Linked DNA regions of Zea mays. Each later gene encodes a partner of the first gene's protein in a complex. Links are inferred from orthologs where the notes say so. Each region holds a gene or a part of one and is shown in the gene's direction. Other genes may lie near its edges.

Region 1 (5,935 bases):
GGTGCGCTTGCAGTAGGGGGGTTACAAGCGTCCACGCGGGTGAGGGAAGCGAGCGGCCCCAGGAGAGCGCCTGTCTCGTCCTCGTCCCCGCGCGGCCAACCCTCTCTAAGAGGGCCCTGGTCCTTCCTTTTATAGTCGTAAGGAGAGGATCCAGGCGTACAATGGGTGTAGCAGAGTGCTACGCGTCTAGCGGAGAGAGAGCTAGCGCCCTGGGTACATGCCAATGTGGCAGCCGGAGAGGTCTTGGCACCTTGCTGGCGTGATGTCGTGGCTGTCGGAGGAGCAACGGAGCCTGGCGGAGGGACAGCTGTAGGAGCGGTCGAGTCCTTGCTGACGTCGCCTTGCTTTCGTAAGAGAGCTGAGAGCCGCCGTCGTCACAGAGCTTGTGGAGCGCCATCATTGTCCATCTGGCGGAGCTAGCCAGATGGGACGCCGGTCTTGTTCTCCGTGACCTGAGTCGGCTCGGGGTAGGATGATGATGGCGCTTCCTGCTGACGTGGCGGGCCTGTGCTCTAGGTCGGGCGACGTGGGGGCTCCTCCGAAGCTGGGGTCGAATCTGTCTTCCGTTGCCGAGGCCGAGCCCGAGCCCCCGGGTCGGGCGAGGCGGAGAGCGTTCGGCCGAGGCCAGGGCGGAGTCCGATCTCTGGGGTCGGGCGAGGCGGAGTTTCGTCGTCTTCCGGGGCCGAGCCCGAGTCCGAGCCCTGGGGTCGGGCGGAGCGGAGTTCGCCGTCTTCCGGGTCTTAGCCCGAGTCCGAGCCCTGGGGTCGGGCGGAGCGGAGTTCGTCGTCTTCCGGGGCCGAGCCCGAGTCCGAGCCCTGGGGTCGGGCAGAGCGGAGTTCGCCGTCTTCCGGGTCTTAGCCCGAGTCCGAGCCTTGGGGTCGGGCGGAGCGGAGTTCGTCGTCTTCCGGGTCTTAGCCCGAGTCCGAGCCCTGGGGTCGGGCGGAGCGGAGTTCGCCGTCTTCCGGGTCTTAGCCCGAGTCCGAGCCCTGGGGTCGGGCGGAGCGGAGTTCGCCGTCTTCCGGGTCTTAGCCCGAGTCCGAGCCCTGGGGTCGGGCGGAGCGGAGTTCGCCGTGGCGCCTTTGGCAAGGCCTGACTGCCTGTCAGACTCACTCTGTCGAGTGGCGCTGCAGTCGGAGTAGCGCAGGCGGCGCTGTCCTTCTGTCAGGCTAGTCAGTGGAGCGGTGGAGTGACGGCGGTCACTTCGGCTCTGCCGGGGGACGCGTGTCAGGATAAAGGTGTCAGGTCGCCTTTGCATTAAATGCTCCTGCAACTTGGTCAGTCGGTGCGGCGATTTAGTCAGGGTTGCTTCTAAGCGAAGCCAAGGCCTTGGGCGAGCCGGAGGTGTGTCCGCCGTTAAAAAGGGGGGCCTCGGGCGAGACGAAAGTCTCTCGAGGTCGGCTGCCCTTGGCCGAGGCTAGGCTCGGGCGAAGCGTGATCGAGTCACTCGTGTGGACTGATTCCTGACTTAATCGTACCCATCAGGCCTTTGCAGCTTTATGCTGATGGGGGTTATCAGCTGAGAATTAGGCGTCTTGAGGGTACCCCTAATTATGGTCCCCGACAAGTAGGAATTCATCACTTTCTAGATCCTGAACCCTATGGACAACTTTATTTTTCTCTGCACGTAATTCTAATGATACTTAGATTCTCTACACAACCAGATTTTTCCTACAACCAGATTCTTAGAAAAGCTGGTGAGAAAAAAGCTGAACCAAATAAGACCGATACTCACTGCGACCCCAAGAGAAGAACAAAACTCCATATTTCTATTTTTTTAATGTGAGAAATACAAACCTCCATATACTTATTCATTTCGTGTAGTAGTTGTATTAGGCCTCCCTAAACTGCGTCGCCCTCTTTCCGGCCCAACCACGAACCACTCCTCCTACAGAAATCACCTGCCGGCCTGGCCTTTCCGTAGCTACAACCGAAGCCACCACCAGCAGTCCAGCACGACTAGCGGAATAATATCCACCGGCGACGGGAACGGGAGGCGGCGCGGCCGGAGATTCGAAGCGATGGCGTTCACGATGCGGGCAGTGAAGGTGCCTCCGAACTCGGCCTCGCTGGAGGAGGCCCGGCACCGCGTCTTCGATTTCTTCAAGCAGGCATGCCGCTCTATCCCCACCGTCATGGAGATCTACAACCTCGACGACGTTGTCACGCCCTCTCAGCTCCGCTCGACCATCGCTAAGGAGATCCGTAAAAACCAGAACGTCACCAACCCCAAGGTTCCATCCCGTTCTCTTTCTCGTCCCCCCTCTCGATTCGATCCCTAGGTCCGAGTCGAAACATTTACTTTGACTGCTTCTCTGATTTGGTTGCTGCTCGATCTGAGGGGCAGTGGAATCCGACATATGTTCGGTTGATTGGGGCTTGGAATCGTTCTTGATTGCCGCGTGGACTTGCGGTGTTTCATTCGAAGACAGTTACAGTATTGTAACCTGCTAGGCTGCTACCCAATGTTATAAACATAAATGTTTGATTGTGCATTTTCTTGTCACTGTACACCATAGTAAACTGTGAAGATGGCTATCAACATGAATCCTGCTAAAGGAATCATGAAAATTTGATACTTTAGGTGATCATTACTGCCTTACTGCAATTACTATGTGCCCGCGGGAACATATAATACCATGATAACTTATTATATATAAATGTGTTATACTGTTATGAGAAAAGAGTTTCGTAATCTATTTGTGATCCTAGTCATACATTTTTTTTGTTATTTTAATCTAGTTCGGTGCACATACGTTAGGTGTGTGGCCATATGGAGCTCCTCTAATTTTTTTCTGCATTTGGTTTAATTCTTTGATGCCTAATAAAGAATGGTTGTTCGGATATTGTAATATTATTTTCTTATAAGCACTATATTTGATTTGGTTCTCTCTCTTCAATTCTTAATAAACAATAATTCTTTCACGGTTCTCTCTTCAATTCCTAATAAACAATATACAAGCAAAATAGCAAAAGTACAATAACTAAAACTAAAACAGTCGGGTGTAGAAGGGTAACTCATATAGTCATATAGTCCCTAAACTGCAAACATGTCAAAACTGGTACTTTAATGGTGACAACAGAGGCGTGCTCCAAGAAAGAGTGGCATTTCAGACACCTTGCTGATTCAGATAGCAGGTTTGAACTTTGAAGAAGTACATGTACACCAGGCTGCACAGGCATACCACATTACCACCTAGCTGCTCTTCATTTGTCTGTCGAGTCTGAGGTTATGTGACTGCAAGCAGGTATGACCAGAAGAAAGGTAATGGAATCAGGCCAGACCAGCTATTTTGTCTGTCGAGTCAGAGGTTGTGTTTTATCTCAAACTTTAGTTAGTGATCATAAACTCTGTTCAGTATCGCATTATTATCATACAGTGCATGAGCTGCAACCTGACATGATTCACATACATTATTCTCATCCAACAACTAATTTACTTAGAAGAAATGTCATCCAACAAGTAATTTATTTAACAGAAATGTCATCTAACAAGTAAATTTGAAGTTCAAATTTTGATAAAAGAAGTGGTATATGATTCAAGCAATCTGATTCTACGACTACATGAAGCAAATCATCACAATGAAAAGTTGATCCCACGACGACGGTTTATCTCACTTCGTAGGCTTCTGTAGTACTGCTGCTGATCTGCATCCATTCCGCTATTGCCCACTTTCATTATTCTTCCTCTAGGCTCTAGCATTCTCTTCATATGCATACATTTTTGTTCATTTGCAACCCTTGTGCGCTCTATCTCAAGTCTCTCCTTCTCAATTTCTAGTGATTCGTTGAATCTTTCTTCTTCAGTTCTTTGTCTACATCAGCTTGTTTCTTTTTCTCCCACAAATTATCCAATGCCTCAATGTAACCATCAGCACCACCTCGGCGTAATAGTTGCTTAGCCTTCTTCCTGCCAATGGGTCTTGTAGGTGCATCACCCTCTGGAGTTGCATCGCCATTTAAGTTACCAGTCAAATCTATAACTGAAAATGTTGCCTTCTGTTTCTTGCAACCAGATTTTGTTGAAGCTAATTGATTCATCTTTTCATTCCACTTTGGTTCAAGTCGTAAAACATTCCAGCAGTGTATGAACTGAAATGACTTGTTATCTTTATCCTCAGCTTTGTACAAAGAGTATGCATTAGTGAGCTGCAGAATTCCAAATAGGAAAACATGAGTTTCATGTATGCATATTAAGTACAGCTAAGACAGTAACTAAAATTAAGGCATTAATTATTTTGTACCTTGTTTTCAAAAGTCTTTCTGCTTGCATTCCTACCCTCAATCCAGGACATACAGCCACAAAACTTATTCACACACTCTTGGATCGAGGCCCAGTGATGCATAAGTGAATTTTGGTTGCGATCTGGAAGAAATCATAGACCCTTGCCCAATAAGTAGAACATTTTTATTTTGTCCAATAAGAAACACTGCAAAGACTTGACAAAGTTAAACATAATTTCCAATAAACTGGTCGTAGACGAAATAAGTGCTTGATATTGATATATATACTAAACAGAATTACCGATATCAACTTGGACATAGCTAAACAGAACATGCCAACCCAATAAACAAGGTCATACTGAAAAACACGTGGTGGCATGCCATCACACAGCAAAATATCTAGAAACGAATGAAAGTCATTAAAAGACAATGATTAGGATATGTGTTTGACAAAGAGGGGAAGATGGGGAGCTAAATTCAGAGTTTAGTTGGTATCCACAATATTATTTATGAATCACTCATCTTAGGCTGCTCCATGGATCAGGGTGTAGCTACAAACATGTTTAGCTTGGTGCTGTTTGTTTGAGAAAGAAGCGAGGATCCACTGAAGATTTTATTGCTTGGCATAAAGAACTCTCACCTTTTGATTTATTTTCAGAAATTTGGAGAGATAGTATAGGGGGAGTAAACGATTATTAGTCAATATATAAGGAATTTGCTACTGACATCTAGCTAGGAACTGTTTTTTTCAAAGATCTGCTAGTCGCTGTTTTGGCAACATTGATGGGGTTCCATTCTCATTATAGTATTTTTGTGACTTTCATCGGGAAATTGGTAACAAAGTCCTTTATCTCCAAATTTGCCTTTGTTCAAACAAAGGGTTCTGCCTGCTTTCAAGTTTTATTCCTGAAAGCGCAGTAGCTAGTACTTGGCACAATTTGCATATTTCCAGTCTAGTTCATATTCCATTGTCAGGTTTAACTGTTCAAGCAAAACAATCCAATTAACATGCCTGACATGCATATTTCTTGGGTCAAGTTTCTAGCAACCTAGCATATGATAACAATACCCCATTACAAATATTTTTTGCCTACCATAGATATCAAAAGGCAAGCAGAGTCACATACTGGCTGTTTTTGGCAGAAACTATATCTCTTTTTATTTTCCATTTATTACAGGTATAAGAGAATTTGAGGGTTTAAGTCTCATAAGGCCACATGGTTTGGAGATAAAATATCGGAACTTCACTTGAATCCATGTTATCAAACATTTTGATAAACTGACCTTTCTGAATGAGTGTATATTTGAAACAATTCTTCATCAGATGATCTTGTTCCCCTAACAACAGGAAAGTGATGTGAACTAAGACCTTGATGCCTATGTGCATGTTTCCTTCTTAGGTAAACAGGAGTCTCACTTGTTTTTGCTTGAATCAATGCCGCTCTTTCCTGATTGTGCTTCTCTATCTTCCAAGGAAGCCTTCTTATCTACACAGACTAAGGATTTAAGATGTTCATTCTTTTCAAAAAAAGCTGTTGTTACCACAAAAGTACACAGTGAGCACGTGATTTTAGCTTACCTTCTTTAGGCTCAGGAAAATATTTCGCAAGCTGATACTTCTATATCAAGAGTGTAGGAGAGAAAATGAAAGCTATAATGAAAACGTAGAAGGGAGAACTAAATTTTCAGCGAAAACAATTGTTAGTTGTACAAT
Region 2 (5,993 bases), on another chromosome or scaffold:
AAAGAGTTCACTACTCCACTAGAGCTCTAAATGCTATTGCAAAGAATCAAAGGCGCGGAATTGATGTCTTTGTGCTTAGGAATGTTGTAGGAATACTTGTTCTACTCCTCCATGCGCCTAGGGGTCCCTTTTATAGCCCCAAGGCAGCTAGGAGCCGTTGAGAGCAATCTGGGAAGGCAATTCTTGCCTTCTGCCGTCTGGCGCACCGGACAGTCCGGTGCACACCGGACACTGTCCGGTGCCCGATTTCTTTCCTTAACTGGCGCAGCCGACCGTTGGCAGCCAGAGAGCCGTTGGCGCACCGGACATGTCCGGTGCACACCGGACAGTCCGGTGCCCCCTTCTAGCTGTTGGTTCGGCCACGTGTCCCGCGCAGATCGCGCGGGCGACCGTTGGTCTGGCCGACCGTTGGCTCACCGGACAGTCCGGTGCACACCGGACAGTCCGGTGAATTATAGCCGTACGTCGCCGGTGAATTCCCGAGAGCGGCCAGTTCGCCCGAGCTAGTCTGGCGCACCGGACACTGTCCGGTGCACCACCGGACAGTCCGGTGCTCCCAGACTGAGCAGAGTCTTGGCTGCTCGAGCCAAGACAATTCCAATTCGATTTTTCCTGTTTCCAGCACTTAGACACAATACATTAGTCTCTAAAACAATGTACTAAGTCTGAGAAACATACCTTTATCCTTGATTTGTACTTTGCCCACCATTTTACACTTAGGCACTTGTGTTGGACACTAAATCACCAAAATACTTAGAAATGGCCCAAGGGCACATTTCCCTTTCACCCATAGATCATATAATCAACCAGAATTTAGGTTTTGCTTTAGATCATTTCGTCTTTAAACTGTCACCATTATTAGTTTGTAAAACCTCGTATTCAAGTGATTAATCATACATTTGTGATTGCCAAGACTAATGAGAATGGTAGATGCAGACTTGCTTCTATGAAAGCATCAATGAGACACTAACCTTACAAATAACAAACATCAACTGGATGTGATCATCATTTATGAAAGCACCAATGAGACACTAACCTTACACTAATCAACATCTTATGTCTAAAGGTGATGGAACACCAACATGTTTGATAATTAAGGCAGGGCCATGAAGTAGGCTTTGAGAAGGACCAATGACCATAGGAGACTTAACCATTTCTCAAGCCCGAGCAATGATGATATTGAATCCTTAAAAGGTAAAAACATGCAATTAGATAGATTTCTCCAAGACCACGCCAACTCAAGATGAAACATCACACCTTTGTGATTTTCTAGCTGGACTGCAAACGTTAGGGCTTCCTCGAGCTTTATGGACGAGAGAGTGGAGAAACAATACCACCTCGAATCAGTATAAACAAGAGTGGAGAATTACCTAGCACCATTAAAAGAACCACATCAATCTCCTATATGAAAATATTAATCAATGTGAGGTTGTAAGTAGTGGATTTGTCCTACAAGAATTGGATGAACTCAAATAAATCATCGGATATCGATATGTGAACATTAGCTATCCATAGCCAAAGAATGGCCCCATTGGCAATCACCAACTGGATGCGAGTTGGGGGACATGTTGAGAATGTACCATATAATAAATTTATGTCTCAATCATTTTTATATGAGACCTATATTTACATCAATCATACAAAGCGTTATACTTGTGGTATATTTTACTCTTTTTTATTTAAAATGAAGCTGGAGTCCAATCAATCTCTGTGAAGACATATCAAGGAAAACAAAGAAAGAACAAAAACATAAGTTTGTTTTCTTTCGAGGAGAACAAAAACATGAAACGAGAAGACAAATGAACAGTTTGACGGGCCGGCCCTGACAAACCTGGGCCAAGAATAAATAGGCCCATAGACTTGTATATAGGGTCTAAAGTGACTGAAAAGTCCCGCATGTTCTCCTGCCTCCGCTCCGCCGCCGCAACAACCATTTCCTTCTCTAGCCGCCGCCTCCGATCCCCTCCCGAGGCTACAGAACCAGTTCATCCAGGCGCGAATGGCGGCGGCGAGGAGCCTGCTTCTGAGGCACCTCCGCTTGGCGGCGGCCCCGTCAGCGGCGTCCGTGAGGCCGACGGCGTCGTTGCATGAGGCCCTGTGGGGGCAGCGGTGGATGTCTTCGGAGGATGCCAAGGGCTCTTTCCTGGACAAGAGCGAGGTCACTGAACGCATCATCAAGGTCGTCAAGAGCTTCCCGAAGATCGATGACCCCTCCAAGGTATAAACATTGCTGTCACACTCTCCCTACCGTTGGCTAGCTGGGACAAGAGGTGTTTGATGAGATCAAACCGACAATCGAATGGAATCCATGCAATAGCTTCTCTCCGAGAAACAAATGTTGTATATAAACCTAGACGGAGCTGATTGTTGGATCTATTAGCAGTGTGCAATAATGATAACTTGATAAACATTTCTATGTGTTCGATTAAATTTCGAAGAGTGGTTTCAGTGTGGCAAAACGTGTGCAAGTTGTGCTGTTGTTACTAGTGTTACTTCAACTTGAGTTTGTTCATTAGTGTGCTATGCAGTACGGATACAGATAGACGTATCAGTATCGGAAGGATACACATATGTGGATATGGCATTTATTCAGAAAAATGATGCACCTATACATTTTATTTTTTTAATAAATAAATAAGAATGCAAATTAAAATTGTAAAAGTCAAATTGGAGGGTCCATCTATTTGATGCACTTGCGCCGCACTACCCAAATTTGGAGATGCCATCTATTCAATGCAAGCAATCAAGCATGGGAAACACTAATCATGAAGGCTGAAGGAGATGTGAGGAACACACAAAGTCAAGCAAGCAGAACTGCAGAAGTTGAGTAGATCAAATATGAAAAAGTGATGTGCTCATGGAAGATCGTCGACAGCTTGCTTTGCTGCTGAATCGTCCTCTTCCATGCACCCACCCCTGCATCGTGGGAAACTGGAAACTTGCCGCTGCCATGGCAGACTAGTGGGTGCTCCCCATCACGGTGCTCCTGGCGCAACGGTTCAGAGAGAAGTTGATTGATGGAGCAGAGGGGGCAAGAGCTTCTCTCTAGAGGCCGGCGAGCCGTGCCGCACCTCCTGTGCAGCGCACGTGTGCGCAGCAGGCGGCGTGAGAGGGTGGGGGCTCGTCGCCAGCTGGCGGCGGCGGTAGCTGGTAAGTGGTGACACATCTCTAGAGCTGGAAGCAAGCGCGTGTATGCGCAGGAGGCGGGCACTGTGCAACCATGCCAGGCCTTGGGGTTAGGTATGGGAGATAAGGGAGTACTTGTTGGGCTAGGCTGTATTCCATAGGCTGATACATATCAGGTCACATACTCTATATTTCCTAATCTAAACAAAACTCGGGTACTCGCAGGATATGTATACAACCCGTATCGGTGGTGTATGCGTATCAAATACGTATCTGATACGCGATACAACACCTTCCTGACGTATCTGTGCTACAGAGTTAGCATGGATAGTTCATCGTTGGTACACTTTAGCCAATAGCCTAATACTTAGGGCAATTGCCTAATTTGTTAAGAAATGTTTTATTTTCTTACTCAAATGAAATTTAGAAATGACTACTAATGGAATGGCATGTTTTTCTTGTGAAAACATGCATTAATGTAACATTGGGAGTTTTCTATATAGTTTTTGTTTAAGTTTATTTGTTTATTTGGGATTTTTTACGGTCAAGATTTTCATGGGTAAATCAAGCGGAACACTACTAGGTGCTGATTTGTTCAGTGTAAACAGTTGCTTGGATAGTTTCAAGAGATCAAGGCCCTGTTCGGCATCCAGAAGCGTTTTGGATTCTTGCGAGAATCGGTAGAATCACTGCCAAACAGGTTTGATGAGAAACATTTCACTCGAGAATCACTAGAAACATTTCTCATTTTTATGCCTAGCAAGGAGAAACACCTGCTAGCTGGTTTCGCGTGATTCTGATTATTGGCCCCCCTTCTGTATAAGCAACCACAATTTTTTAGTTAGTTCTTTTTAAGTGAAATAAGTTAAAATAGGCTGTATTTAGGTTATTCACCCATAAAAAGTTCTGTTTTTAAGAACATTTTTATTTACATGTTTTTTTTATAAATATATATTTTTTGAATCAGAATCTAGTCTACCAGCCAAACGGTTTTACGAAGTGATTCTGATTCATCACCAATAAACATTTCTTGAGACAATCTGGATCTGAAATGTTTCTGTGAGAGTTTGAATCCCTACCAAACGCACCCTAAATTGATTAGGAATTAGCATAGCTATATTGAGATTCAGCATCAAGAAACCAAATGAAGAAATCACTAAACAAACACAAGTGTCTACAAGTGAAACCAGTTAGCAGGCTTAAACTTACATAGACTAACATAAGAGCATCTCCAAGAGCCTCTCTTAAACTTATTCTCTAAATCATCATTTGGAGAGCCATTTGAATAAAAACCACGCTCTATATCTTTTCACTCTCTAACAACTTTGCTATATCTCTTGCACACTCTAGAGAGCCAACCCCGCTGTCCATCATTGGCTGGCAAGAAATTTGGAATAGAGAATGTCCGTATTTGGATATCTAATTTAAGAAGTTGGAGTTTTTTTTCACCAAAATATCTATTCCTATGAATTAGGAAGGATATAAATAGGTTCTTGGAGTTGCTCTAAAGTCTGACTAACCTTAGTGGCTATGGATTAGGCAGTTGGTTCAGTTATGGACAGTATTCTCTTATACTTCTGAACAAGCACTTGAGCTGAGGACTTACAAATTTAAGGGGATTGAAATTAAAACTAGATTTTTTTTACTATAATTAGGATGAAGCTAGCTACCGCATGAGAGCTTCTCTTCTTTGTTTTCAAATCTCACTATTCTCTGCTTGCCTACTGGCAGGGTAGCACTTGTGAGAACATGAGAAATCAAGCATTTAAATTAACTCAGGCTGTCAGGCTTTCAAGTTGCTGAGCATATCGATATTCTCAATATTTGTAGGTGCTCTAGCTACTTAGCTAGTGTGAAGACATGAACGCCAGCACTTAATATTAATAGTTTCATCATGATATGAGCATATCGATATTCTCAATATACTGTATTTTTAGCCTTTTTTCATACAATGTAGAAGATATTATACAAATAAGAAGCATTCATTTACATGCATATAAAATAGCACATAGTACAATGTAGTAAGGAGTGACAACCTTTCGTTCTTTATTTCTTTTTAAAGAACCTCAGTCGAATTATTCCAGGTTACAGCAATACCCGTGGTGTCTATTTAATAGTTCTACATTAGCTATTTGTTACAGAAGTGTCTAATCACCATCTTATGCCTGCATTGGTGTAGTTCATGCATAACATCATCAATATATCCATTCATGTAGTTGGCCAAGCTCATCAGGGAAATCATGAGATGCAGCATTTGTTACCTTCGTCTTGTGTTCCTGTCTTCCTGATGCTCATTTGTTGCGATCAATGCATTGCCATGGATATGAAGTTTCTGCTGTTGCTTTTGTTGGCATTGTTGCCTACTCAGTTTTGCACAACTGGTCCTTGGAGTTTCAGTCTGCCCATTCATTTGGTTATATGCCTCTGCACGTGGCAAGAAAACCACATTTCCTCTTTTGCTCTGTTTTCCTGGTCGCAAAACAGTTAGTTGCTGCTTTGCCAGAGCAAATCTTGGCAGATTAATGGCTCCTTTCATTACTCTGTCGTTGCACAGAAGTATCCATGTTTTCATTATCTTGGTGTTGTCACTGCCGTTAGCGATGTGAATTTATTTTCGCAGCCTATAGAGTATAGACTTGTCGCTTGGGGGGGGGGGGGGGGGGGGGTTGCTGTCTGTACTCCATTGTGACGTTGAGGATTCTTGCAAGATGCGAGGCAAGTTAGATTCTACCATAATCTAACTTATATATAATTTAGGAGATAATGATGCGAGGCAAGTTCCATTGTGTGTTCCTTAATTCTTAGCTGATTATGTAGTGATAGTAAGTAGGGTCTAAACTAGTTTTTTCTGAGATTATCTCTGTTCT

Evidence for each region. The genes of interacting proteins can lie anywhere in the genome.
Region 2: the proteins of NADH dehydrogenase [ubiquinone] 1 alpha subcomplex subunit 6 (region 1) and Acyl carrier protein 2, mitochondrial are in contact, whole or in part, in a cryo-EM structure (PDB 8BEE), measured with the Arabidopsis thaliana proteins. The link is inferred for Zea mays from reciprocal best matches to the Arabidopsis thaliana genes AT3G12260 and mtACP2. Residues at the interface, in NP_566416.1 of Arabidopsis thaliana: Phe27, Asp28, Phe30, Arg31, Cys34, Arg35, Arg56, Tyr57, Ser60, Ile63, Arg64; in NP_176708.1 of Arabidopsis thaliana: Phe61, Gln62, Asp82, Ser83, Leu84, Asp85, Val87, Glu88, Met91, Ala92, Glu94, Glu95, Glu100, Ile101, Asp103.

Annotation. Positions count from the first base shown.
Region 1 is NC_050096.1:4,114,931-4,120,865, reverse strand, and holds the start of NADH dehydrogenase [ubiquinone] 1 alpha subcomplex subunit 6, read left to right. Parts: upstream 1-1,844; 5' UTR 1,845-2,018; coding exon 2,019-2,231; intron 2,232-5,935. UniProt on the Arabidopsis thaliana protein: Accessory subunit of the mitochondrial membrane respiratory chain NADH dehydrogenase (Complex I), that is believed to be not involved in catalysis. Complex I functions in the transfer of electrons from NADH to the respiratory chain.
Region 2 is NC_050104.1:154,582,778-154,588,770, reverse strand, and holds the start of Acyl carrier protein 2, mitochondrial, read left to right. Parts: upstream 1-1,875; 5' UTR 1,876-1,999; coding exon 2,000-2,218; intron 2,219-5,993. UniProt on the Arabidopsis thaliana protein: Carrier of the growing fatty acid chain in fatty acid biosynthesis. May be involved in the synthesis of short and medium chain fatty acids.